Linked DNA regions of Astyanax mexicanus. The protein of the gene in region 3 purifies or fractionates together with the protein of the main gene of each other region. This does not show direct contact. Links are inferred from orthologs where the notes say so. Each region holds a gene or a part of one and is shown on either strand. Other genes may lie near its edges.

Evidence for each region.
Region 1: the proteins of snrpb2 (region 3) and rbm17 purify together in Homo sapiens (affinity purification with mass spectrometry; 3 studies listed by BioGRID and IntAct, with this or other methods). This does not show direct contact. The link is inferred for Astyanax mexicanus from reciprocal best matches to the Homo sapiens genes SNRPB2 and RBM17.
Region 2: the proteins of snrpb2 (region 3) and sf3b4 purify together in Homo sapiens (affinity purification with mass spectrometry; 4 studies listed by BioGRID and IntAct, with this or other methods). This does not show direct contact. The link is inferred for Astyanax mexicanus from reciprocal best matches to the Homo sapiens genes SNRPB2 and SF3B4.
Region 4: the proteins of snrpb2 (region 3) and sf3b6 purify together in Homo sapiens (affinity purification with mass spectrometry; 4 studies listed by BioGRID and IntAct, with this or other methods). This does not show direct contact. The link is inferred for Astyanax mexicanus from reciprocal best matches to the Homo sapiens genes SNRPB2 and SF3B6.

Annotation. Positions count from the first base shown.
Region 1 is NC_064409.1:20,777,482-20,784,961, reverse strand, and holds the start of rbm17 (splicing factor 45), read right to left. Parts: upstream 3,016-7,480; 5' UTR 2,890-3,015; intron 1,493-2,889; 5' UTR 1,485-1,492; coding exon 1,362-1,484; intron 1,234-1,361; coding exon 1,123-1,233; intron 699-1,122; coding exon 535-698; intron 135-534; coding exon 25-134; intron 1-24. Other genes in the region: il15ra (interleukin-15 receptor subunit alpha), read left to right, coding at 6,178-6,331. UniProt on the Homo sapiens protein: Splice factor that binds to the single-stranded 3'AG at the exon/intron border and promotes its utilization in the second catalytic step. Involved in the regulation of alternative splicing and the utilization of cryptic splice sites.
Region 2 is NC_064410.1:32,707,367-32,714,215, reverse strand, and holds the start of sf3b4 (splicing factor 3B subunit 4), read right to left. Parts: upstream 3,023-6,849; 5' UTR 2,958-3,022; coding exon 2,924-2,957; intron 2,303-2,923; coding exon 2,174-2,302; intron 1,122-2,173; coding exon 579-1,121; intron 185-578; coding exon 11-184; intron 1-10. Other genes in the region: rab25a (ras-related protein Rab-25a), read left to right, coding at 4,681-4,717, 4,996-5,191, 6,135-6,328. UniProt on the Homo sapiens protein: Component of the 17S U2 SnRNP complex of the spliceosome, a large ribonucleoprotein complex that removes introns from transcribed pre-mRNAs.
Region 3 is NC_064428.1:32,565,033-32,572,285, forward strand, and holds the start of snrpb2 (U2 small nuclear ribonucleoprotein B''), read right to left. Parts: upstream 3,010-7,253; 5' UTR 2,904-3,009; intron 2,653-2,903; 5' UTR 2,627-2,652; coding exon 2,563-2,626; intron 1-2,562. Other genes in the region: rnaseh2a (ribonuclease H2 subunit A), read right to left, coding at 4,282-4,441, 5,295-5,418, 5,584-5,671, 7,032-7,169. UniProt on the Homo sapiens protein: Involved in pre-mRNA splicing as component of the spliceosome. Associated with sn-RNP U2, where it contributes to the binding of stem loop IV of U2 snRNA.
Region 4 is NC_064408.1:59,524,619-59,531,783, forward strand, and holds the start of sf3b6 (splicing factor 3B subunit 6), read right to left. Parts: upstream 3,004-7,165; 5' UTR 2,843-3,003; coding exon 2,813-2,842; intron 1,974-2,812; coding exon 1,855-1,973; intron 1-1,854.

The DNA.
Region 1 (7,480 bases), on a different chromosome or scaffold from region 3:
GTTATAGTTTGAGAAGACACCCACTCCTCTTCCTCTTCTCTTTCTCATACTCCTCATCCTCATCTGAATCTGCCTCTGTGGGGAAACGTGAGAAACCACTGGGGGCCGATCCTTCATGACGCTCCTTTCGCTTCCTATTTCGACAAACAAGAGAGGCAACTGAAACTCAAACCAGGCAGTACGAAATGACCAGCACAATATTTCTTTAAAGAGGCTTTAAAGAGTGGCTAATATAGTAATAGGAGTAGGAATTTCAGGCCATCACACGAAACAATTACAATTACCACAATAACAATGATATCCCAATACTGTGGTTCCGTGATATCTGATATATCACAAGACAATTCTCTTGAACACCTCACGGCATCTGCGTTACTGAAGAGGTAAAATACTCATAAATTTCTCAAACATATCATAAATACACCAAATCACACTGTCTATTGAAAAAGCATAAAAAAAAAAAAAACTAAACCCAGGTGAACAGGACCAGCAGGGCATTGGTGTACAGACAGGGTACGTGTGGAATGTGCATACTTCTCTCTCTCTTCGATCTCCTTCTGCCGCTCCTGTTCCCTCTGCCTCTGACGTTCCTCCCTGTGTCTTTTCACCACTTTCTCATAGTCATTTGGGAACATGGGATCATACTCATCCGGGAGCGGGATTAGGACATCACCTGCAGAAAAGCCACCTGGTACGTCCTGTCACACACAAAAATATAAACTTAAAATAGCTGCTATAAAGAAGCTACCCAACTAAACAGTTCTTATAATGCCTTAAGATTTGCAAAAGAATGTATCATACTGTATAATAGTGGTGAGCCATACCATACCATGCCCAATATATTGTGGCAGTAACATTGTGATTTTAAATTCTATATCATGTAAATACTATAATTATTTTTTGGGAAACATTAAGAGTATATTCTGTATTTTTGCAATATTTATGCATATACTAAATAGCATTTACTTCAGTATCTTGAAAAAAAATTCTACATTATTTCTACAATAATTTTCTTCTTATTATTATTATTATTATTATTTTAATCCCTAACTTATCTCATCTAAAAGTATTGGACAGACCTCCATCAATACAGAGAACACTGTTCCAGCTTTCTTCACTCACCTTCAGCCCTGCTGCTACATGTGGGGGTGTGTCTGGAATCTGCCGCTCGTCACTTCCTCTCTTGAGATCAACAACTGGAGCCAAAACAGTGGATTGTCTCATCCTCTGCGTCTGCGAAGGGGGAAAACAAAGATCTATTTCCAGGCCAATTTCAGGTTTAAGTAAAGATATAATGGTACTACATAATACAGACAACACAGAACATCTGCAGTTTAATGTTATAAAAACAGAATGCAAACCTTTGCTTGTGTCAGAGCAGCTTTTTTCACTTTCAGCTGCGACTGAAGCAGTTTGAAGTTCTTCGACCATCCTTCAGTCTTGGCGTCACTGGTAGCGACCCCCAAATCATCGTAAAGAGACATTGGTTCACCTGATCACACAACACAATGAATGTAGAGAATGTTACACTTGTTTCATTTTATTTTCCACACATCAACAGTTTGCATTACTTTCATTACCTGCAGATATAACTCATGAAACAAGAACAAGAACTCATTAACTTGTTTTTTTATTAGGGAAGCACTGGTTCTTGTCTGCTTTGCCAATAGTGATTTGGAAAATTGGTTATTACCAAAACTGGTTAATGATCACTACAGTTGTTAAAAGGTTCATATTTTTTAAATAAAAGTTAATGTCTGAGTACTTGTAGTTTATGCTGAAGCTGTGTGTAACAAAAAGCCTGTTCTGGTGCTTATTAAATTTGCACACACTTCTCTTCTTGTCCTGCTGACAAGAAAATCCCAGCAGAAATCTATTTTTAAGGAAACTGATAAGCTTTGAGGTGGATGAAGGTATACCGGTATATACTAATTAATCAGTGCTGTAATATCAGAGAAAGAGAAAGAAAGAGAGAGAGACACACAGACAGAAAGACAGAGAAAGAGACACAGAGACAGGCACACAGAGAGACAGAGAGAGATAGAAAGAGACACAGAGACAGACAGAGAAAGAAACAGACAGAGAAATAACGAGACAGAGAGATAGAGAGACACACAGAGAGACAAAGAGAGACTGAGAGAGAGAGAGAGAGAGAGAGAGAGAGAGAGAGAGAGAGAGAGAGAGAGCAAAAACACAAAGAAGCAGAAGGAGAGACAGAGACAGAAAGGGAGAGAGAAAGAGAGACAGACACAGACAAACAGAGAGAGAGAGAGAGAGAGAGAGAGACTTGAAGAGAGTGAGACAGACAGACAGAAATATTCCATATATGTAATGGTATTAGTTTGGCACTGATACAGTTGATTGTATGCTACTCTACTGTACAACAGTGTGTTGTTAATGGTTTATTTTGGTTGGACGATTTTGTTATTTTTTTACTCTCTTAAAATTAGACCAAAGTTAATTCTAAAGCACATTCACATAGTTTAGGCATCCAGAAAATAGAATTCGATGCAGTTATCAGTTTGTGCACCAACTCCACTGTAAAACCACAGTACTGGTGCACAGAATAGACCCAACAAAACGATGCAGTTTGGCTATTTGTCTTCTAAACACATTCAGGCTGGTTTTAGCAGAGGTTTGAGGTGTTATACAGCTTAAAATGATCTCAACTGATCATATGCTATGTAACAAAAAATAAAATGTGCCTGAAATGTCTCTAAACACAAAAAGCACACACAAAACACAGGCTAAGCTTCATTAGCCAGGTTGGCTAGCTACCATTTCCCACGCCAGCCCCAGCGCTAACTGTGACCACAGCTAAAATACCCTACCACGCACTGATAGTATTGATGGTTTAAAAAGCACTTTAGACCATCTTTTAGTAAATACCTGTGATTAAATTCCAAACGGGAGCGAGAAACCTCAATATTCCACCACATTTAGCACAGCATGCTAACGCGCCGTCTCCTCGTCGCTTCTAATGACGTCATCAAAAGTGGCCAAACGAAGTGCTGCCCTCTAGTGTGAGAATCACAGAAGCTCAGCATCATCCAACAACACAGTCCACACTCCCACCTATCACAACCACAAACCCAGCACCTAGCATTACTACTATAAACTGATATCTCATTATTCTGAGATATTATCTCATTACTCTGAGATACTAAGACATTATTTTGATATAATAAGTCATTAATTTGAGATACTAAGTCATTGTTCTAAGATACTAAGTCATTATTTTGAGATACTTAGTCATTATTTTGGGATAATGTCATTATTTTAAGAAACTACATCATTATTTTGAGACACTATGTCATTATTTTGCGATGCTGTGCCATTATTTTAAGATACAAAGTCATTATTTTGAGATACTAAGTCATTAAGATACTATGTGTGGTGTGGTAGTGTAGACTTGAACAGTTATGGAGTGAAGGTTTGCCACAAGGATACTGTATAGACACTGCCAGGTGAAATCCAGATTTTTAAATTTATTTTAACTGTGCAAAAAACTAAAATACTAAGCCATTATTTTAAGAAACTAAGTCATTATTTTAAAATGCTAAATCATTGTTTTGAGATATTAAGTCAGCAAAAATAATCTTTAAATAACCCCTTAGAATGTCAAAATAATTATTATCTCAAAATAACGACTTATGTCAGAATAATGACTTATTATCTGTCTGTGCCAGGTGATGGAACCATAATAAGTCAGATTTCCCAACAACTCTGGGCAGAAAAGTCTTAGCACAGGTTTTGTCCACCTGTAAGAAAACAGCCTTTCCTTCAGTCAATTTTAGTCAGTCAGACCAAATTGGCATTAAACCGCACAGTCTGCTGGATGCTGTGAATTTACTATATATCTCTGTGTAGTTTATTAATATGAGGCTTGTGTTTCTAAAGAACGCAATATAACAGCCAGATGTTACTCCATAATAAGCCCATAAACACAATGTCAAAAAATCATTAAAATGTTCCACCCTGTAATTGTCCACTCTATAGTACAGCTTGCCATAACAAGATGGACACATCCATAAAAGGACAAAAAATGAAAATATTAAGTGATCAAGCAGGACAATAATAATTTCTGTGTAGTCTGAAGTCTTATAACATATGCTAAATAGTCCAAAAGTACTGTCATTTTAAGTAGATTTAAGCAGAATTAAGCAGAGCTTGTGTTTTAAAGACGATCACAAGGTGGAGCCATTGCTACCAAATCCCTCTAATAGCCCTGTCCTAAACAATCCGGGTAATATGGGGTCATATAGCTGTAGAGAAATCTTTCTAACTTTAAATAAAAGTCAATGTAAAAGGGTCGTTCTACAGAAACGCCCCCTTTTGAAATGGCAAAATGTCTTTTTTTTTGTAAAATTTAAACTTAGACTATGTTAATACATAACATAAATAGATGCATATCATGAATACGCATACTTGATTTGATCTTTTTTGTTAGTGTATTGAAATATTTTGGCTACCAAATAGGGGTGTAAGGAAATACTTATATAATAAAGTATTACAATAGTTTATTTGGCAATGCTCGAATGATTTTCAAAAACACAGTATAAATTGTAATGATTAGTTTAGATGACATACACGTTTGTCCATATAAATTCAGAAAATAACAATATAATAAATCAAATCTTTACAATATTAGCAATGTCAATAACATTTTTTAAAACCTTTTCTTTATTGATAGCAGGGAATGTCTGTGGTAGAGGCTCAAACCGAAACAATAAAGGTCTGTCACGCCTAGCTCACCCTCCCATCTGATATACAGTAAATCACTCTATTACCGAGAAGAACAGAGCCGCCAGGCAGGGTTTAAAAAATAAACAAGTAGTATAATGAAAATAAAAGTGAAACAATTCAGGCAGAGTGCCTGAAACCTTTTACCTATTAACAGAGATAAGCATGTCAACAAGTGTCCTGGACCTTTGGATGATTTCGAACAGTGCTTTTTACGACAAATATTATTTATAATAATAATAATAATAATAATAATAATAATAATAATCTTTTTTTTTTTTTTTGGAAAACGAAAAAAGACAACCTTTACTTTATTCTCAATTTTTATAATTTTGCATCCGGGGAAGAAAATTAAAATAACATTAAATGTAATGTATATATACGAATATATATATACATATATATATATATATATATATATATATATATATAATATATATATAATAATAAAAAAATAAAAAAAAAATAATATATATATATATATATATATATATATATATATATATATATATATATATATATATATATATATATATACGTATATTATTATTATTATTATTTTTTTTTTTTTACGCAGCAAATAGTGCCCATTGTGGTAGTGATGCTAGCGATGATAAAAGCGTGGTAGTAATGCTAACACTGTGGTAGTAATGCTAATGGTAGTAGCCATAATTGAAAGGGAGTCATGCTAACACAAAAAATCTCAAATATATTGGTAAATGAGATCAAAGTTTACAAGTTTATAAGTTTTTGTTAAAAGCAATTTTATTTTTAACATATTGTTACACAAGGTTTATGTATAAATTCAGTATATTTGCTACATGCACAAACCGCACTTTCTGAACATGTAAGGATATTTAAATATATATATATATATATATATATATATATATATATATATATATATATATATATATATATATATATATATATATAAACTAGCGTGGCGTTGGTTGGTTATTGGGTTGAAGCCCCAGTGGGCGGAGCTTAGTTCAGTGGAGAAGTCATATGGTGAAGTAACCTCCAGCAGCAGGTTAGTGTACAAGTACAGTGTTACAAGTTACAAGTACAGTGTATAGTGTACTTTACTCTTTCCCGCTGATGTTGGTGGATCAGTGACTGGGACGTCTCCGGTCTGGACTGAAGGAGCTCTGTGGAAAATATAATTTTGCCTGAGGAACACAGCTCGGTACAGCACCGCCATATGCTACCCTGATCCACTGTGACCCACGGCGTTATTTATACCCCCAGCCCACGCGAAGTGTTGGGACGCTCTGCGGTGTGTGCTCAGTGTTTGTGTGCGCAGTGTGTGTGTGTGTGTGTGTGTGTGTGTGTGTGTGTGTGTGTGTGTGTTTAAGTGAAAGTGAAACCGGGCTACTTATGTTATTTTGCTGAACGGAAAGGAAGCTGTCGTAGTCACAGGCCGTGCTTCAGATGACTGGAGTCTGTGTATTTCCTAAAATATGTGTAAATCACCGGCAGGCAGACCCAGTGTTGGTATTTCTGGACATGCGGGCATCATCTCTCCTCCTCCTCACCTTCATCTTCACCGCGGCTGAGTACCCCCTCCACATCTTCGGGGTAAACGGTGAGTACCCTGATAGCCAAGAACATTAAATAAACGTTTTTTTTTGCATTACAACTTTGAATGTTGTTGATTGAAAAACAACTCTTATCCAACCTTTGTTTAACATTACCTAATATATTCATTAGTTTGTGTTGCGAATATGACATTGAATCAACGTTCATTTAAAGGTTTAAAGTGGTTGGGCTGAGCTCTTCTACACTCTGGTGATAGCAAAGAACATAAATAACCTTTATTATTTGGATGTATTACACCTTGTATTGATGGTGGGGCACATTTAGCATTTCCTAATAGGCACCAGTTAGTGTTTAGATTATGCCATTGAATAAACTTTTATTAAAAGGTTTTTAGGGATTTTAGTGGGGCTCTTCTACACTCTTGTTGTAGCAAAGAACATTGATTAAACATCATTTTAAGTTGCATTGAGTTCATGTATCTCCTAGTGTTGATGAGGGGAAAACAACTTTATTTAACATGGCCTAATATTCACTGGTTAGTTTTGCAAGTCTGACATTGAATCAACGTTCATTTAAAGGTTTTAAGTGGTTGGGCTGAGCTCTTCTACACTCTGATGATAGCAAAGAACATAAATAAACTTTATTATTTAGATGTATTACATATTTTCTTGATGGTGATGGGGGGGGAAAAAAGCACATTTATTAGCATTTCCTAATAGGCTCCAGTTAGTGTTCAAATTATGCCATTGAATAAACTTTTATTAAAAGGTTTTTAGGGATTTTAGTGAGGCTCTTCTACACTCTTGTGGTAGCAAAGAACATTGATTTAAACATCATTTTAAGTTGCATTGAGTTATTGTATCTTCTAGTGTTGATGAGGGGAAAACAACTTTATTTAACATGGCCTAATATTCACTGGTTAGTTTTGCAATCTGACATTGAATCAACGTTTATTTAAATGGTTTGAGTGGTTTTGGCTCTCCTACATTCCCCTGATAGCAGAGAATATTAAATGTTATTTGTTGGATGCATTACATCTTTTAATGTTGATGATGGAAAAACAACATGTATGTATTTCATGTAAGTAAAGTTTAATACAAACCATACATATAAAACCATGACATTTGAATCAGTGTTGAATAACAGTAAAATCAATGTGCACAAATAAATCTACTCTGACGTCGGAGATCTGCGC
Region 2 (6,849 bases), on a different chromosome or scaffold from region 3:
GTGCTTTTACCTGGAGGGTGCATTCCAGCAGGTGGGAAGGGCGGTGGTCCTGGGGGAGGTCCTGTAGCACCGCCCTGAGGGGAAGGTGTCCCTGGAGCAAGGGGCATGGGCATGCCAGGGGGCATTCCAGGTGGCATTGAGCCTGGGGGTGGCACAGGGGGGAATGCGCCAGGAGGAGGCATGCCTGCATGAGTTAAATAAGGAGTTAGAGAAAGAGAACAAACAATCAGATCTACTTTCATAAGGTTTTTAATCCCCACAACATCCCTGTATCAGTGCAGGTGTGTGCTTAACATAAAGATGTTACAGGATCAGATCAGAATTATTATTATTATTTTTTTTTCCACTGAAATCCTTTACAGAATTTCTACTGATAAGTCAAACATCAATCCATACACACCCACTCCCACCGATATCTCTATTTCCCATTTTCTCATTCTTGCCCTACCATCCCCACCCTCCATACCTTTTATACCCATTACACCGAACCCAAGGTGCAGTGCTGCAATTTGTATCACATAACTCATTTGTTCATAAATTAAGAAAAATATATATTAGAAATCCAAGTAATAACTGACCTGGAATGGGAATGGCTGCTCCCAGTGTGGTCATTACAGGCGTAGGTGCAGTGGGAGGGGGCGGGGCATCTGCAAACAGCTGATGTGGCCTATCAGCCTGCGAGAGAGGGTTCTGTGCAGCCAGGAGACGCTCGGCTGCTGAGCCGTGCCTCTCACCTTTGGAATCCTTCTTAAAGGCGTAAGAGACTGTGATGGGTCGATTACAGAGGTACTGGCCATTCATGGCTTCAATTGCAGCATCAGAGGCATCAAAACTGGCAAAGTTGATAAAAGCGTAACCCTTGGAGTTGCCTGTGTCCGGGTCACGCATAATCTTGGGTGTCTGAAGGATGACGCCGAAAGCACTGAAAGTATCATAAAGCAGCTTCTCGTCGATTTCGGGGTCCAAGTTCCCGATGAAGATGTTGGCACCCACGTCTAAGTTCTTGTTGTGTGCTGAAGCTTTGTTGACTCGTATTGGTTTACCATACAGCTTGATCATGTTCATGATCTTTATGGCATAATCAGCATCTTCCTCACTGAGGAACTCCACAAAGCCATAACCTATTGAATATATCACAGAACATGTAAATGAACAAGTTTGACATCATTTGCATATGCAGGTTAAATGTGTGGTTAGACCACACATGAATATTAGCTCCAGAACAACACCTTCCAAAAAATAGTGCACAGGATGGCACTAAAAATTATTCAGGAGAGCAAATGTTTGCACTTTATAAATGGTTATAAACAGTTAATCGGGAGACCACTTGCTGGTTGAAATATGACTGGAAGTTTTCCTAAAGCTTAGAACAGATTTATAGATAAAGTCACACCTTTCAACATAGAACCAATCAGCTTGTTGGTAACACCAGGAGAGGCGTACTGTTAATAAATTTCAAACAACTGATGACATGGCTGTAGAAAATTACACAAATACATTCAAGTTTTGGACAGATGCCTTTCAGTTTGGGATGGTTGTGAAAGAAGTTCACAATAATAGGAATGCAGATATTTTATAATTTATTAGGCACAAAGCAAAAAAAAAAAAAAAAAAAAAGAGAGAGAATAATGAATAAGACAATGAGAATGCACCAGCATTAAGCATTTTGGAGTGGAGCAGTGTGGAGCTCCTTAAATCACTCACTGCAATACACTCATATACTAATATAATTAATAATTATAAAAATGCACATAAATCATTATAATAATGCAATACATGGTTAATATGTCACTGTCTTTGTAAAGAATATATTTTGACTTGAAGCAATAAACATGCTTTTTAATGTAGTTAAATTGTAATGTTCAAGTACAACTTTCCCAAAAGACAACCATATAATTAAATTAATGTGCTGACACTTGGGTGAATTACTTCTACAGCTGTAAAACATATATAGACAATATGGCAGTAATACAATTCGTAAAAGAAAAACCTAGTCTGTTTGCTGCTTACTGTGCCCTGTTAAGCAGCAATTTCTTTTGGGAGTGATTAAAATACCACCTACCACTAATTATTTACTACATAATCAATTTTTTGGCAGCCACGCATCAGTCTGGTGTAGTGTTTGACATTTTTTGTGCAACCCACAAGCTGTGTGTCAGAGTGCTGTACTCACCCTGATGTTGCCCTGTGACTCTGTCTTTGGGCATGTGTGTGTTGACCACTGGTCCAGCTTGCAGGAAGAGTTCCCACAACAGCGGCTCCGAAACCTTTTCATCCAGACCGCCTACATATACCGTAGCATCTATGACAACAAAAAACAGGAAAACCACTTGTTTAGAAAAAATATATTATTTACATTAATGAATGGATTGTAACTATGAGCTTAAACTGGCTTCTTTCAGAAGTTCTATTTTAAAGTAATGCACTGAAGAGACAAATCAAATAACCCAAAAAAATCTGATCATTTGTTTGCTAAGTTAAATATTTAACTAACGTTAAATAGTTTGCACGGAAACAAAACACAGCGTTAGCATTAGCTAGCTTTAGCGAAGAATCAATGAATGAACTGCTAAGCTTTCCCGAGAACCATCCAGCAGATCTAGCGGTTAATAAAATAAACCAGAACCCGTATGGCTATATAACCACAGAGTTACACATTTCCATTTCTATTTATTTTTATTTCCATTCTCATCAGTATACTTTACAGTATACAACTTTACCTGGTTAACGTTAGTCTGTTTAAGAGTGAGTAAAGAGCTGCACTGTGACATAAAGAGCACGAGCTCCGAGAGTGTGATCATCACTCAGAGACAGAACCCAGCAGTCAGTAAAGAACGCGTGTCCTGTATCTATTAAAACACATTCAGACCGATATTTAATAAGATCTCTAACATCAGTAAGAGTTTTTTATTCATTTTCTTACCCTGGTTTCTTTCTGATATCGGACCCGCCGCCATGATGAACGACGCGCTGGCGGAAAAACGGAAGTTTGCGGGTGATCCTCTTCCGCTGCTAACACGTTTAAAAGTCCTTTTACTTTATAGATGTTCATCGTTTTAAAATAATTTACTAAATATAATTACAATAAATAGTTTCACCACACGAACAGGACTTTCTGACAGACATACACAAAAATAAATTTTAGTAAACAAAAGCTTTAATAAATATAATATTTTTACAGTGCTGCAATAAACATGGCTGCTGCAAACAGTGAGAATTAAGTTTATATTTTATTATACACAATGCACATTAGTAAAATCTGCCATTTCGTAAAATTATTTCTTTTTAAGCAGCTAATTATATTATTATATTGCCTGCTAGGAAAAAATACAGCATTTTTATTATAATAAAAAAGACACATATATTTGTTTATATACAGTTATATATATATATATATATATATATATATATATATATATATATATATATATATATATATATATATATATATATATATTTCATTTTTTTTGATGTCTCAAGCTTTGGTTCAAAGGGCTAAATATAGTTACTTTTACTTAAATCAAAGTTTATTAAATTAGTATTTTGCCTGTGTAAATGAAACTGTAACACAGATGGAATGCATTAGCATTGCCCACAGGGGACTAAATGATAGGCATGTTGAGGTGAGTAAATACGACTATATATGTATATGTTCCAAGTCCAGGTCCGGGGGTACCTTCCTGAAATAAATTTTTGCAACTTGGGAAGTCTGGGAATGTGGCCTTTATATATAACAATCAGTAAACACACTCATACACACTACCAAGCAAACACACACAGTAAACACTGAGATTACATAGCCAGAGTAAATGGCAGCAGTTTAGAGGCCAAACCTGCCCTAAAGATTTTTCTTACACCCTCATTAGATCCAGTGCTAAAGCAGTCCACATCCAAAGAGCATGTGACAGTAATAGTAACCATGCTTTTAACTGAGCAACTGCACTGTCAAAGTTTTTTTTTTTTTTTCGAAAGACACACTCAAAAAAAAAAAAATCAGCCTTCAAGGTAATAAAAAAATAAGAACAAATTCACATTTGACCTGTGATTGCAAATACTATTGCTTGTATCTTAGCTTGATCTGAACCTTTTATTAGTGGACAGATATTTTTTTTTTTACCAAATGCCAACTTTGGTCAAAAGTGTCTCTTTATAGAATTGTTTTTAATTTTATGTCAGTTTCATAATTCACAACTTACCTCTAGAGCCCTCTATTACAACCTTAGCCCCCTTGGCTAAAAAAAATCTACACAAAATAAATAAATAGTTCTCACTTCTCTGTAGACTGCAATGCAGTTTATAGAAACATCTAGATTTGCATGTGCATCAACCTGTGGTGAATTACATTATACAATTAATATTTATGTTCAATATTGTGATGAACCTAGTGTACCTCTAACTTTTCAGTGGGTAATTATACAGTCTGAGGACACACCTACATGTACTGATAAAAACAGAGCAAGGGCTGAATGGATGTGATTTTGTCACTCCCATAGACATTGTGTGGCGGCTGGTTTAACCTGTTTCTCCAGCTGCTCCACTATCTAAGTTTTGGAACTCAAGGAAGCCACTGCTAGTATGGAATATAACCTGTGACCAGAAAACTGATGGTTTAACCAGCCTGGAGATTCTATACATTTACAGGCACTGATAACTAACATTAGTTTACTGTGAATAGTACAAATGGGGACAGATTTAGGCTACAACTTTGTTTTTAAAGGTAAGACAGCTGATTCTGAGCTTGAACTCTAAATATTTTATCCAGAACTGCATCACTGCTTTTAGTTTAAAGATTTGTTTTGTTAGTTTATTTTGGGTTTATGTTTAGTTTACTATTATTACCTAAGGGATGGGGTTTTCCTCTTTTGGATTTTCTTTTATTGTCTTTAAAATAAATGCTACATTTGAACACTTTTCAGTTTAAAGAAATTGCAATTGTGATTATCCATAAATATTGTTTTTATAATTAATTTCTTCTTTCTCTCTCTCACTCTTTAGTGGTGTTAATTGGGGAATCTGGGGTGGGAAAGAGCAATCTGCTGTCCAGATTCACCAAAAATGAGTTTAATCATGACAGTCGCACCACCATTGGAGTGGAATTCAGTACGCGTACTATTCAGCTGGACACAGTGACCATCAAAGCACAGATTTGGGACACAGCTGGGCTGGAGCGGTACCGGGCCATCACATCAGCGTAAGTACACAACGGTCACAAAAGGCACATTTCCTCTCAATCTTAGAAAATAAATAAATTGGACTGTCTAAGCAATCTCTGAAGCAAACTGTGTGTACAAAAAATATGTTTTATTAACTAAAAATGTAACTAACTAACTGCAAACATGCCAACAGGTCCAAACTCTTATAACATAATAACATTATTCATTCATTCATTCATTCATTTATCTCTTTATCTAGATTGAATGCCCAGCATTGCAATATTGCTTGTGATATAATGACTGTAAACATTTCATTTGCAAATAATTCCTGACAGTTTGTCAGTATATTACCCAAAAAATACACACTTGCAAACATGTATTCATAAAGAGTATAAACACTACACAATAAAGTCTACACAATCTTTTTTTACGTAAATACCATTTATATATTTGTACTTGCTGTCCTGGCATTAATAACAATTTAACCTACATTAGGCTATAAAGGGACTGACATTAAAACTCAGTAATAATCTAGATCTCCAAAACACTAGGTCCTCAGTAATTTAACATGTAACATTTTATCTCCAGTAATCCAACTCTAGGTTCTTAGTAATATACCGTAGGTTTACAGCAATAACTATAGGTTCTCAGTAATCTAACATGTTATTTCTCAGTAATAACACCAGGTCTTTGGTAATCTAACATGTTGCACAGTAGTCTAACATAGTTTTACAGCAGTGACACTATAGGTACTATAGGTAGTAATCTACCACTGGGTCTTTAGTTGTACGTTTTCTCTATCATAATGCATCATAAGACTAAATAACTTTACACTATGATTTAGTTACCTGGAATTAAGATCTGAACAGGCTCTTTGGTAGTAATCTATTGTGGTCTCACAAGCAAGACACTTTATTTATTTCTGCTCCAGCACCACATGCTTTAGCGTAGGTGTAAAGCTGTAATATTTTGTATGTATAGGTATTACAGGGGAGCAGTGGGGGCACTCCTGGTTTACGACATTACCAAGCACCTCACATACGAGTATGTAGAGCGATGGCTAAAGGAACTATATGACCATGCAGATCCACACATGGTGGTCATGCTGGTGGGCAACAAGAGTGACCTGGATATGCAGCGCACCATTCCAACAGAAGAAGCTAAAAGTTTTGCAGGTGAATAAACTCTCAGTTCTATAGAAAACAAAGCATAGCTATTTTGATTGCGTATATACATGTATTTGCAATAGAGGAAATATAGATATTGCACAGTTCCCTTTTTTACAAAGTGTCTGTGAGAGATACAAGGTTTTTTCAGAGCTATACAATAGTGATGTACAGCTCTGGAAAAAATAAGAGACCCCTTAAAAATTATGATTTTTTTTAGATTTTACCAAATTGAAAATCTCTGTAATATAATCAAGAGAATATGGATGATCACAAGCCATCAAACCAAACTGAACTGCTTGAATTTTTGCACCAGGAGTGGCATAAAGTTATCAAAAAGCAGTGTGTAAGACTGGTGGAGGAGAACATGCTAAGATGCATGAATCCTTAGTTTATAGAATAAAACAACAATGTTCATTTTACTCAAACATAAACCTATAAATAGCACAATCAGAGAAACTGATTTAGAAACTGAAGTGATCTCTTATTTTTTCCAGATCTGTATTTAACATATTTAACATTTCATGTTA
Region 3 (7,253 bases):
CCTAAACATGTGGCCAAATCTACACAGAAATGGTTCACCGCACACAGAATCAAGCTCCTCCCATGGCCATCTCAGTCCCCAGACCTCAACCCCATTGAAAACCTGTGGGGTGAGCTGAAGAGGAGAGTGCAGAGGAGAGGACCCAGGTCGTTGGATGATTTAGAGAGAATGTGCAAAGAGGAATGGTCAAAGATCCCTCTTTCTGTATTCTCCCATCTTGTGAAACATTACAGGAGAAGATTAGGTGCTGTTTTGTTGGCAAAAGGGGGTTGTACAAAGTATTAACATCAGGGGTGCTAATAATTGTGGCACACATGATTTGATGTTAAATAATTATTTCTTAATGTGGGATTTTTTTCCTACTGAATAAATTCACTTGAGTTAAAGGTTGTATTTTACTCTTTTTTCCCATCGTGGTCCTATATTATTTTGAACAAAACTCAATTTATGAGAAGCTAAAGAACACATCTTAACCAGGGGTGCCAATAATTATGGAGGGCACTGTATAAACAGTGCAAGAACGCAGGTATATAAATATGTATAATTTAGCAGTGCAAATTTGCAAATATGTAAATGTCAGACAATATCAATTTTATTTAAATTTAAAAAAATATTTTTTTTTATTACAGAGTGAAAAATATCCTGTTAAACAGGATTATATGTGAAGCAGTAAATTAACAAAAATCACTATACTGTTCACGAGAGTCCTTAAATAGAAAATGTATTTTATCTGCGTGTAAATATGATAAATCCTGTGTACTGTGAAAATGTCTGTAAAGTATTGTAAAAGAACATTTTTTACCATATCACTCATCTCTATCACCAAGGGTAGTAAACTGCTTATATCAATGTTGGAATTGTAGTGTATCGACCGAAACTAAGACATATATCGTGACATAGATTTTTGCCATATCATCCAACCCTAATTTCACAACTAAAATACAGTACCAGTCTAATGATTAAATACACGTTGTAGAAAGAGAAAGTGAAATTATGTAGTAAACAGAAAAAAATAAAAAATACATAAAAAAAAAAAAGATTTGCTTTGTTCTTCACATTAATCTCCTGATCTAAACCTGATTAACTGAGATGGTGATTTGAGGTGATTTAATTGGGATGAGCTGGAGCTTCACAGAATGAAGGAAAAGCCGCAGCTATTGTTCAGCACCTCCAGGAACTCCTTCCTTCAAGACGCTGAGAAAACTATTCCAGGTGACTCTACTTCAGATTGACTATTGACTACTGATAAACTGAGCCAATCACAACACTCACTTTCAGCTCCCCTAATACTGCCAAGCCAACCACAACTTCTGTTTGTTGCAGAGAAAATACATTTCTGAAATAACGTGAAATTCTTGCCAATCAAATAAAGGTGAAAGCCTTGTGTTGTTTATTTATTCCATTTTACTTATCTCTTTTTTTTATTTGTTCATAATAAGTGATTATATGTTCGAGTCATGTAAGTGTCAAGTCAAAAAAGAAATTGATTAAAAATGTATTAAGTAATTAATTTGAATAAAAATGTGTGCTCAGGTGCTTTGTGGGCATGGTCAAACTTTAAAACATTTCCTGGGTATTATACTGTGGTGTAGGGGTGTGCCATATCGTATCGTACACGATAATATCGTAAAACATTTTTAATATCGTGATTGATATTATACCCTAAAATATCGTGCCATATCACCCATCCCATTTCCCATTATATATCTGCTAGAGACAGATTATTTCTGTCCAGTATCATTTATTTTACTTAATTTTATTTAACCCTGGATATATGGAGATATTTGGAGTGCATTACTATTAGTATCATGACATTCTGGATCATTGACATAAGTTACAAATCTGATAAAATTCTTGTATTTTTTAATATCTTACTTAGGGGTGTACAGTATTATATTGTATGTAATAATAAAATATATGTTTTTATTTTCTTGCAGTGTATGGTGTATTTTAAAAAAATATTTTTTATTATTTATTTTAGGGCCATATTGCCCACCCCTACTGTAGTGTAGTCGCTGTTGAAAGTCACTTTGAGGATGATTTTAAGCGGCTTTTTCATCTTCTCCAGGTGGCAAGATGGTGCTACAAAATCAGTTTTCTGGGTCATGGAGGAATGGAGAAGGATCAGAGGGAAAAAGGAGTATTTTGGGGGGTTTCTGGAGACAACCAAAGTGTGCAGATCTGTCCTCAAAGCAAAATGTTGTTAATTAGAAGAATTTAAAGTATAAAACCGATTCTGGTTTGTTTAACACTTTTTTTTATTTACAGAATTATTCAGCATGTGTTCCTGAATAGCTTTAATATCGCCTTCAATATTCAATTTACACTGTAAAAAGTCATAAAGAGAAAGAAACCACACTGAATAAGAACCAAACTTTTGGCTGGTACTGTATTTTAGTACTTCTACTCAAGTTTTCCTGTTTTTAATGAAGTGATAATTAACCCTGGGTATCTCTACTGCAACTCAAGCAGTTACATTATTTATTAACTGGGTTCTTCATCCAACACAGTTTATTCAGAATTATTCAGAGAGAAAATAAAGCTCTTAAAACTGAGACTCACCCTCTTTCTTGATCTTGTCGTTGACATTGTTGATATAGATGGTGTGGTTGGGTCTTATATCCATCTTATTAAAGCTGAAGAAGGATTTTCCTGCAGAGAAATTAAAATAAATAAATCAGTAAAGTAGTCTAGTTGAGTAAACAGAGCAGAGCTGGGGTATAGAGCTACACAGGACACACAGGGCAGTTAGCTGTTAGCTTAGCTAGGCTAACTACCTAAATAAACAGCTAATTAAAGTAAATTAAACGCTACTCTGCTGTTTTAAGCGCTTGATAAATTAAATTAAATCGCTGTAATGTTTCTCGCTATGTTAAATAACAGTTTAACTGTAAATAACTCACAGTTTGGATGAATGTGCGCCGTTCAGTCAGTCCACACCGCTGTAACTTACCGCCGGAAAGCGCTTCTCTTCTCTGCTCAAGTTTACGCCGAACGGCGTTAGTGTGGCGCCACCTGCTGATCCGGAGGAACGAGTAATTACCATAGACTGTATATAAGTATGGTGGTCTCTAAGGTCTATGATCAAAAACATCCAATTTCTTGCTCTTTTAGAACTTTTTTTGTTATATATTTGAAGAGACTGTTGGTATATATATTGTATATTTCCGCCGACCCTTCATTTGACCACAAGGAAAGATTTATAGTAAATTTAATTGAGCCATTTCACCAAATTTCTGTCCCCAGGAAATTACAATGTGCACATAAAATACATTTTATTATTAAGCATAGTGTATTGTACAGTGTCCTAAATGCAAATTTATGGTATGTAATTTTAAATAATTAAAAACACTACTTAGAACACTAAAAAATAGCATTTGTTACCTGTACCCTCCTCTCTAACTATAAACTTTACCATAAAAATATATATAAAATTCTTCAGAGATGTACATTGTTTGCATTATGTGACTCCAAATCCCATCTATGCTTTATTTTTTTTTTTCATAATAAATCCATAATATTTAAGTTAAAATACACATTTTAGTTGTGTCCCTGGGGTTTCACTCATTTCTGTTACCGTAAAACATTACCCCATCTGAAACAAGTTAACAACAACAAGTCACATCTAAAATAGGAAGTGACATCATGTGCTCAGTGTCCGCATGCTATTAACACAGAAGCCATTTAGCTATTTTTCATGTTTTTGCTAATTCTCAAAGCTAAGGAATGCGAACTCATTCCTGTTACTCAAAACATAAAAATAATAGTGAGTGCCAGTAACAGGAGCGAGTTCCAGGAACAGGAGTGAGTGCCAGTAACAGGAGCTTTTTTTTGTCATAAATATCAATTATTTGAACATGCAGTCAACCATTTCTTTAAAATAAAGACTTTCTTGAAACATGCTTTTTAAATATTACATGAGTTTTGTAACCATCTTTGGATTAGAAACCAAAGAAATTAAATGCATAGGTTATTAGATTCAGACAATAATAACTTACATACTACCATTTCATTAAACAAACACTTGCAATAATGTGATTTTAATTATTAGTTTAATGATGAAATAATATACAAACTTAAAGGCAAATTATAGACAATAATCACATCAACACACGTTTGTACTGTATAAAATATGCATTTTTATTACTTTGATATTAAGAAAATATGCATAAAATACAACATGACAATTCCAGCAGACACTGGACTTTAGTGCTGAAGCTGCAGAACTAGCTCTGGAAATCTACTCCGAGTGTGTGTGTTAGTGTGTGTGTGTGTGTGTGCTCAGAGTGTGTCGACGGTCTGTAATCGGCGCTCAGTAAAGAAGCGATGCGTCTCCCGAGTTTGTGTCTGGCCGGCTGGTTTGTTGCGGCCGAAGTACGACAGCATGGAGGTGTTGTTTTGGCGAGCTGCTGCTTTCTCACCATCTTCCTCGTCGTCATCCCTACACACACACACACACACACACACACAAACACACACACAAATATTAATAAACTTTTTTTTTTACGCATGTGTGGTTTTTGTACTTATTATGCGTTAATTGTAGAAAAACAGTACAAATTTCTTACTTAAATTGTGCCAAGTGTACTTAACTGTACTAAAATGAAACTTTTAAATATACTTGGGTAACATTTAAACATACTACTTTATGTATTGTATGTTAAATATGTATGTGATCTATTTACATTAGAGAACAAATATGCTTCTTGGTCCTGTCTTTGTAAGTAGCACACTTCTAGTATTCTTTGTTGCATATAAAAATATATTTTAATATTCTGTACTACAATTTTTTGCGTGTTCCAATTTCACTTTAATTTGTAAAATGAATAGTAGTAATTTAATTTACTTTCTAAAAAGTTAACTGCTACATTACATACAGCTGTTTTTAACACACTTTGCTAAAAACATTTTTGTACATTCGAAAAAGAACAAAAGTTTTTTTTTTAAATACATTTTGTACATTTGAAAAATAAAAATTATATTTTTTAAAATAAGTATTTTAGAAGGATATTGAATTAAATACAAAAAAACTAAAAGGTGTTTCCTCAGGGCCTGCATGGAGGAAAATTATCTTAATACAGGAGGTTGTGAATTGCACAGTAAACAAAAATAAAATAATACAGTGATATACCACAAAACCATCAGAATCTTAAAAAAAAAAAAAAAAAAAAAAAAATTATCACTGTCCATCACTTGTAAGGAGCTTCTGAATAATTTATCTACTCTAATGCCAGTCTTGCTTTCTAGTCATTCTCCCCAGGCTGCTAAGCACTGCCCCCTGATGGTGAACTCACCAGTGTACTGTAACTGCTTTACTGTCCATTAGTGTCTGTGCTGTGCTCCAGCTGAACCGCACAAACTGAGGATATCCAAACACTGGATCCAGATACTTCAGCATCCAGCTCTTAGTCTTTGGATCTGAACACACACAAACACATTAACACAACACGGACGCATCACTGCAAGTTCTGCATGATTACAAATAACCATATTAACGATGCTGACCGTTGTAATAAAATAATATAGTCTCATGTGTTCCTAGTTAGTTTAGAGTAAGGTGAATGAAGTGGTGCGAGTGCTGACCGTTAGGGTATCCTGAACCGTACTCCGTGTCCACCTCCCCGAGATCTTCTGCAAACTTCCAGTCTTTCACTACTCGATCTCTGGCCACCTGTCAGAGATTCCCACAAACATTAGTGACTACTATTTATATATAAAAAAAAAAAAAATAATAATAATAATAATATCATATAGTATATTTTTATCTGATTAAATCACTACAAAATTCTGTGATTAACTGCAATTAATCACATTTGTTTTACTTTCAGATGCAAATTTTTCTAGTGGATATATTTATATTTAAATGTAAATAAAAGAATGACTGCAAGAAAAGTAAAATGCAATTACTGTTTATTAGTGGCGTCAATTATATATTGTATATTTGAGAGGAGACAAAATCAACGCAGGGTGATGAAATAAAGAATGCAGGGATGAGGAGCAGGGCAGGAAAGTGTGTGTGTGTGTGTGTGTGTGTGTGTGTGTGTGTGTGTGTGTGTGTGTGTGTGTGTGTGTGTGTGTGTGTGTGTGTGTGAGAGAGAGAGAGAGAGAGAGAGAGAGAGAGAGAGAGAGAGAGAGAGAGAGAGAGAGAGAGAGAGAGAGAGAGAGAGAGAGAGAGAGAGAGAGAGAGAGAGAGAGAGAGAGAGGGGGGGGGGTAAATTACGGCAGAAGTAGGGGTCAAACTTGGTGCCTTAACTAATTTGCGTTAAAAAAATAGTAACGCATTACTGATTCCAAATTAACAGCGCGCGTTAACCCTTTAACGTTGACAGCCCTAATATTGCATTATTTCAGAATATTTTTTTTATAATATTCTAGGCAAAATGACCAAACATTCAATTTAAAAAAAAAGAATTTAAATACTTAACTACTGCAACAAAATTCATATTAACGTTTATTTGGAGATATTGTAGAAGACAATATGAAACGGCACACCCATAATTGGGATTTTCACCAGATTGTAACAGTCAAAGTCAACGAAAAAACGTGATGATACTAATAATGCACTCCATATATCCATGATAGATATAATCTGTGTCTAGTAGACATTTAATGGGAGAACAGTGTGAATTTTCCATTTACTACAAACAGCAAAAAAAGCATAATATCTCAATATTTCATTGTATTTTTACAACATTTTTATTTAGTACATTTTACCTGTTACCAGTCAACTGTAGTGATTCTGATCCAGTATGAATCTGCAGAATGTGCAGAATTCACAGAAACAGAAACAGCTGGAGTGATTATGATCCAGTATGATTATGCAGTACAGTTCTACAGTCTCACAGCAATTCTAGTGCAGTAATTTTAATCCAGTATGAATCTGTAAAACGTACAGTGTATGTATAGTTGTGAGTTTACTGGTGAGTATTTGTGTTTCCGCTGTATGAATGGGTTAAAAGCAGAGGACACATTGCACCTGTCTCTAACTTGTGCTGAACTTCATTTTCATGCTTTACTTGCTCCACACTCACCTTGGCACAGATACTGGCTGCACTGACTATGGGGAAGAGAGAGTCTGCTTTGGGTCGCACTGTAACTTTTATTCCAGGAAAACGTTTAGACAGCTTCTCCTCGTACTTTTCTGCTGGACCCACTGTATCCACAAATACCTGCAGAGACAGGAGCACAGACACTTCATTAATTTATTACACACTTACTGTTAGATAGTCCTATATCAATAAAGACTAGCTAGT
Region 4 (7,165 bases), on a different chromosome or scaffold from region 3:
AGATCACTATATAATACATCTATATAATATGAGTAACTTTCCAATGAATTTTCTTTTTTAAAAAACACCTGTAAATAAAAACTTTTTAATTTGCAGTGCCAGAGAGTTGACTCTCTGCAAATTGTCTTTTTCTTGAGTGGGACATAAAACAAGATTTGTCTTGCATTTCAAATGTATGTTAATTATTTTGCTTTGCTTGCTTATTTGTTTTTTTTGTACACATTAAACTCTCGTTTTCTACATCATACCGCTATATTTAAATACTAGGGCTTGGTTTCACAGACAGGAATTAAGCCAAGTTGTGGTAAAACTGATCACAGTACATACAGCATTTTCAAGGTAATAATATGGAGTGCAAAAGCTTATGTGTGGGAGGAGCTAATACACTGTAGGGAAATATTATGACAGCTAGCAACATAGAAACATTTCTTTAGCCCTTTCTGGATGGGATTAGTTTCTTAGGAGGACGTCTGTGAAAAATATTTCACACTTCTACTCAGTAATAAACTCTTGCATCCGGACTGCAATGGAAAAAAGGGGACCAGTGAGGGTTTTTTTTTTTTTTTTGCTTTCTCGGTCACATGACATCGCGTTCAGTAGCTCCTCCATTCCCACTCATTGTTGTGTTTACATGGATCTCCAAGGAAACGCGCACCCAAATTGTAATTACAGTGCGTGGCAGTGAACAAATAGCCATTTTATTAAATGTGAGGTGACAAAACTCAAGAGATGTCCATCCGGATGGGACTAAAATTACCGGACGACCACAGAGTTCAGTGACAAACAGTAGGTAGTTCAGCCTGTAATTTTCTCAGAAGACGTCTGAGGAAAACACAAACATGGTCTTTCCGGACGGGTATAAAATATCACAGAGGACCCCCTGAGAAACAAATCCTGTCTAGATGGGGCTTTTAACAATTCAGATCGATTCAGATTTAGTTTGTTGCAATCTGACATTTCTTCAGCAGGGGGCACTGTTAGAACACAAGTAAACATAAAAATATATATCTGACAAAGTACCATGTTGGCACATCATTTCCTGGGCAGAAAATATGTGTAAAACACAAAGATTCTTCATTATTATCCACTGGAGTCGGAGCAAAGCACCAGTCTCATACTTATCCAATACTTCTACTACCTTGTAACTTTATCACATTGTGCCCCCCTAAGCAGGTTTTATATTTGCAGAAATAGCGATTTCCCCTCACTCAGTTTTTGCAATTGTTTGTCAAAAAATTCTAAATCTAAACAGAGAATTATACATTCGTAACAGAATCTGAAATCTAGTTCTGTGTGTAGTCATTGTAGTTTTATGACTGTATTTGTGTAGCAGAGTCACTCATGATCTTTAAACGCCAACTAAAGACTCATCTTTTCAAAGACTTCTTAAACTAATCTTTAAAATAATCATCTAGGGTTAATGTTTAATGTTCTTTAAACATCATCAAGCTTTAAGTATTTCTTGATCCTAGTCTCTACAAACTAGCTATGGATATTTTGAACTAAACAACGAAGCATTGATGTAAGAAGCAGCAAAACAGGCAAACGGCATGTAATGTCATGAGAGTGAAGTAGAAAAAAGGTGCTGCAAAGTATAGATAATTTATTGTAACAATTATGTTAACTACTCACATTAGTCTTCTCATATAAGATCATTTAAATCTGGGGTGCACAACTGGTCCTGAACAGCCAGAATCCTACTCAGTTTAGTGCTTAGTCTGCTCAAACACGTGATTCAACATCTCTGATTCAACACATCAGTTAATCATCAACCCTTTAGTCCAAATGGCTCCGTATACCAAATAAACAATTGGCCTGCTAACTAAAAAAAATAGGACATTGATCAGTACTTACACTCTGATTTGCCGGATGGGGCCGTATTTTCCAAATATGTCATACATTTCTTCTGCTGTGATTTTATAAGGAAGGTTACGTATGTACAATATCCTATTCACCTCCGGAGGCAAGCGAATCTGGGAGAAAAAAACAAAACAAAGATGTTCTGCTTAATGCTCAGTTTCAATAACAACATTAAAAGTCTTGATTTTCACACGTTACAATAAAACATGGGATTTGTCACACTGTTGAAAGATTTGGGACTTTAGACCAGACATTGAGAAATTTCACTCTCCTATATTAATAACAGCTTTAAAAGAGAACGCTCACATTAACACTTCATCAGAACCGACTGAGGTTTCTTATTTAAACTTGGTTTTGTAAAGTACACGAGTGTTTAGTGGTGCTATTTGGGTTTTCTATTAACGAGAAAGAAGCTCCGCAGTTGTGGATAAAAAGCCAGCTAGATACTGTAGGAAATGTCCAGCATGATTAGAAGACAAAACACACTAGCTAGTTAGCTTAGCCAGCCTGTAAGTTGGTCGTGTTTTTATCTACGTTCAGCTAACTAACGCTACAAAGTTTTACTAGTTTAAACCGCGTGAATGAAAACTCCCCAAACAAGAGCGAGTGTTTATCTAGCCAGCTAGCTTGGTTAGCTTAGATACCGTGTTAGCTAACTGTCTCGGTCAGGGCGAGCGGCTAAGCTAAGCTAGGTTGGTTAGTGTTTCTTACCCCATAGTCTTTAATACAGTTCTAGCCCGTTTGAGCTGAATGAGGACCTGATCATTCACTAGTGTTGTACAGTAAGACGGAGTCTATACAGTGTGTTTTAGTGTGTGTGATGAGTGTGAAACTCTGCTGTGGCTTTAGCTCCAACAGGCTAACGGCTTCCTCGATACAAAGAGGCCTGCTCACACCGGGCCTCGGTTTAAAGAGTAAATACAGGGAAACGAAATAAATAAACAAGACTTACGTTCGCGCGTTTCGCTGCTTGCATCGCCATGATCGAAAATCCTGATTAATGTTCCGCTTTTACACTGAACTAAACAGATACTCTGAACTCTCAGCGAGCTCCTCACCAACTCCCACACTACGCACTGACTTCAGGCGCACGATGACGCACTTCCGTGTAGCCGACACATACACGAATGCAGCTGCGTTAAGTGAGCAACAATAAGCAACGAATAAAGGAAAAAAAAACAACACAAAAAAAAACAAATAAGCAACGAATTATACCCGGAAGTGTTTCGTTTTTCGTGCTCCTCCTGAGTTTCCATTTCAAAATAAAAGCAATGAAGCTTTTGAATATATTACACAATTAAATATAGTTTTACCGATCTGGAGGGTTATCCATTGCTTTAGTGACGTCTCTGGTTTATATGTAACCATTTCTGTTACAAATTTGAGTGATTTAAAACTATTATTTAAACACTAGCCTTAACTTTAAACAGTAATATTAGTGTGAAATGAATCAGGGAGAGAATTTGGCAAAACAGTATAAAACATTTTTTATACCTCAACCATATATTCCATATTTACACATGCTGGGTCAGAAGAGACATTTACCCCTAGATGGCAGTAAGAGGTATGGTTGTTATCTTTTTTACAACTGTGAAAGCACTGACATGGTTCTTACAAACCGATCTATAATAATAATAATAATAATAATAATAATAATAATAATAATAATGATAATAATAATAATAATAATCAATATCAGTCTGCAGCCTAAACTATACATTGCGTCAACATAAACCCATAGTGAAATTAATTCAGCAGACCCTCCTCTGTCAGAAAACATGGAGTTTACTATCAAAAAAGCGTAATTGTAGATGTAGGAGTCATCACACTATAGGCGATACATGGTTATATCCCATTAAATGATATGAATACAGGGTGGGCATAGTTGTATCAGTCTGCAGCCTAAACTATACATTGTGTCAGCATAAACCCATAGTGAAATTAATTCATCAAACCCTCCTCTGTCAGAAAACATGGAGTTATCTATGAAAAAAGCGTAATTGTAGACGTAGGTGTCACTTATACTATAGGCGATACATGCCATTAAATTATCTTAATACAGAAAGGGCATAGTTGTATCAGTCTGCAGCCTAAACTATACATTGTGTCAACATAAACCCATAGTGAAATTAATTCATCAGACCCTCCTCTGTCAGAAAACATGGAGTTATCTATGAAAAAAGCGTAATTGTAGATGAAGGAGTCATCACACTATAGGCGATACATGGTTATATCCCATTAAATGATATGAATACAGGGTGGGCATAGTTGTATCAGTCTGCTGCCTAAACTATACATTGTGTCAGCATAAACCCATAGTGAAATTAATTCATCAGACCCTCCTCTGTCAGAAAACATGGAGTTATCTATGAAAAAAGCGTAATTGTAGACGTAGGAGTCACTTATACTATAGGCGATACATGCCATTAAATTATCTTAATACAGAAAGGGCATAGTTGTATCAGTCTGCAGCCTAAACTATACATTGTGTCAACATAAACCCATAGTGAAATTAATTCAGCAGACCCTCCTCTGTCAGAAAACATGTAGTTTTCTATCAAAAAAGCGTAATTGTAGATGTAGGAGTCATCACACTATAGGAGATACATGGTTATATCCCATTAAATGATATGAATACAGGGTGGGCATAGTTGTATCAGTCTGCAGCCTAAACTATACATTGTGTCAACATAAACCCATAGTGAAATTAATTCAGCAGACCCTCCTCTGTCAGAAAACATGGAGTTTACTATCAAAAAAGCGTAATTGTAGATGTAGGAGTCATCACACTATAGGCGATAAATGGTTATATACCATTAAATGATATTAATACAGAATAGGCATAGTTGTATCAGTCTGCTGTCTAAACTATACATTGTGTCAGCATAAACCCATAGTGAAATTAATTCATCAAACCCTCCTCTGTCAGAAAACATGGAGTTATCTATGAAAAAAGCGTAATTGTAGACGTAGGAGTCACTTATACTATAGGCGATACATGCCATTAAATTATCTTAATACAGAAAGGGCATAGTTGTATCAGTCTGCAGCCTAAACTATACATTGTGTCAACATAAACCCATAGTGAAATTAATTCATCAGACCCTCCTCTGTCAGAAAACATGGAGTTATCTATGAAAAAAGCGTAATTGTAGATGTAGGAGTCATCACACTATAGGCGATACATGGTTATATCCCATTAAATGATATGAATACAGGGTGGGCATAGTTGTATCAGTCTGCTGCCTAAACTATACATTGTGTCAACATAAACCCATAGTGAAATTAATTCAGCAGACCCTCCTCTGTCAGAAAACATGGAGTTTAATATCAAAAAAGCGTAATTGTAGATGTAGGGGTCACTTATACTATAGGCGATAAATGGTTATATCCTATTAAATGATATGAATACAGGGTGGGCATAGTTGTATCAGTCTGCAGCCTAAACTATACATTGTGTCAACATAAACCCATAGTGAAATTAATTCAGCAGACCCTCCTCTGTCAGAAAACATGGAGTTTACTATCAAAAAAGCGTAATTGTAGATGTAGGAGTCATCACACTATAGGCGATAAATGGTTATATACCATTAAATGATATTAATACAGAATAGGCATAGTTGTACCAGTCTGCAGCCTAAACTATACATTGTGTCAGCATAAACCCATAGTGAAATTAATTCATCAAACCCTCCTCTGTCAGAAAACATGGAGTTTACTATCAAAAAAGCGTAATTGTAGATGTAGGGGTCACTTATACTATAGGCGATACATGGTTATATCCTATTAAATGATATGAATACAGGGTGGGCATAGTTGTATCAGTCTCCAGCCTAAACTATACATTGTGTCAACATAAACCCATAGTGAAATTAATTCATCAGACCCTCCTCTGTCAGAAAACATGGAGTTATCTATGAAAAAAGCGTAATTGTAGATGTAAGAGTCATCACACTATAGGCGATAAATAGTTATATACCATTAAATGATATGAATACAGGGTGGGCATATAACAGAAGCAATAAAATCCTTTTGTTACCAGCAAACGAGATTACATCTGAAGGACTTGAGGTTTCACTAAAATCATTTTCCCAAATTAAGTGTAAGAAATGTGGAAACAAAGATTCAGTGTCAATTAATAAAAACGAGACCATTCATTGCCCTAAAACACTAATTGTATTATCAGACCAGTGCAATATTAAGCTAGATCAAAAAATAATGTTGTCTTCAGTGTTCAGTGATAATGTTTACAAAATTGGCGCCATTCTCTCTCACTATGAAACCCCCCCTTTTGCTAAACTTTTCAAAGCAGGAAACAGTGGCTGGACTGTCAATGGTGTTAACCATATAAATTATAGCTCTACCTTAATTAATAAAATGGTATCCCAATCAAAATCAGTTATAGTTGCTTTAGAGTTAGAAAATTGTATAGATATACAGAATTTAAAACTGCAGGAGACAAAACATAAATGTACAGAGCAATGTGAGAAAACCACCCCTTATAAACATTCAGATGTATTTTGGCAAAACCATGATGATCTTCCAAAAAACTTACTTAAAGAGGATTTAGAGTTAATCACAAGTGTAAGATGGCTAAATGACAGAATTATAGATGCTTACCTTGCCCTTTTAAAAGACAAAGCAACAGATCAAAAAGTGCTGATGTGTCCATCTACATTTGCAAGTCAACAGCTTTGCAGTTTATATTGTGAGAAAATTGATATTCTGCCAGATGCCCCAAATCCTGAAAGAAACTGGTGGAGATATAATACTGTAGTTGTTCCAATTAATTTAGGCTCTGTACACTGGGTTGCTGCTGTTCTTAATGTGTCAAAATGTGTCAGGTGAAAAAAGTATTGTGGCGTGGAAGAGGAAGGAAGACCCGTGAGACTCATGCTGAATGCTCAACAGCTTCTTTATTGAACAGGCTTGCCACTCACTTACAGCCTCTAACAAGACTAGGAGAGCTAAAACCATTAACCCACAGAGCTTAAATAGCCCAAAGGCCACCAACCCAGCTGTGTGTCTCCCAGATGGCACATCCAGAGTGGTGCCCACCCTCTCTGCATAACCCCTCCCAAGGGAGATGCCCCACCCCTGTCATCCTCGCACACAGGAGAACAGAAACATACCTGCAGGCAGCCACACACACAACCCAGAGCCGCCACATAGCCCCCCTCCCAAGGGTCAGCCGTCCCGGCGACCCCACCAACCCAACACAAACCCCGTGTACAACAGAACATTTTTTTTTTTTACAATCAATCGCAAACAAAGTCATTAAGGCGGGCGGGCGGCCTCCGTGCCC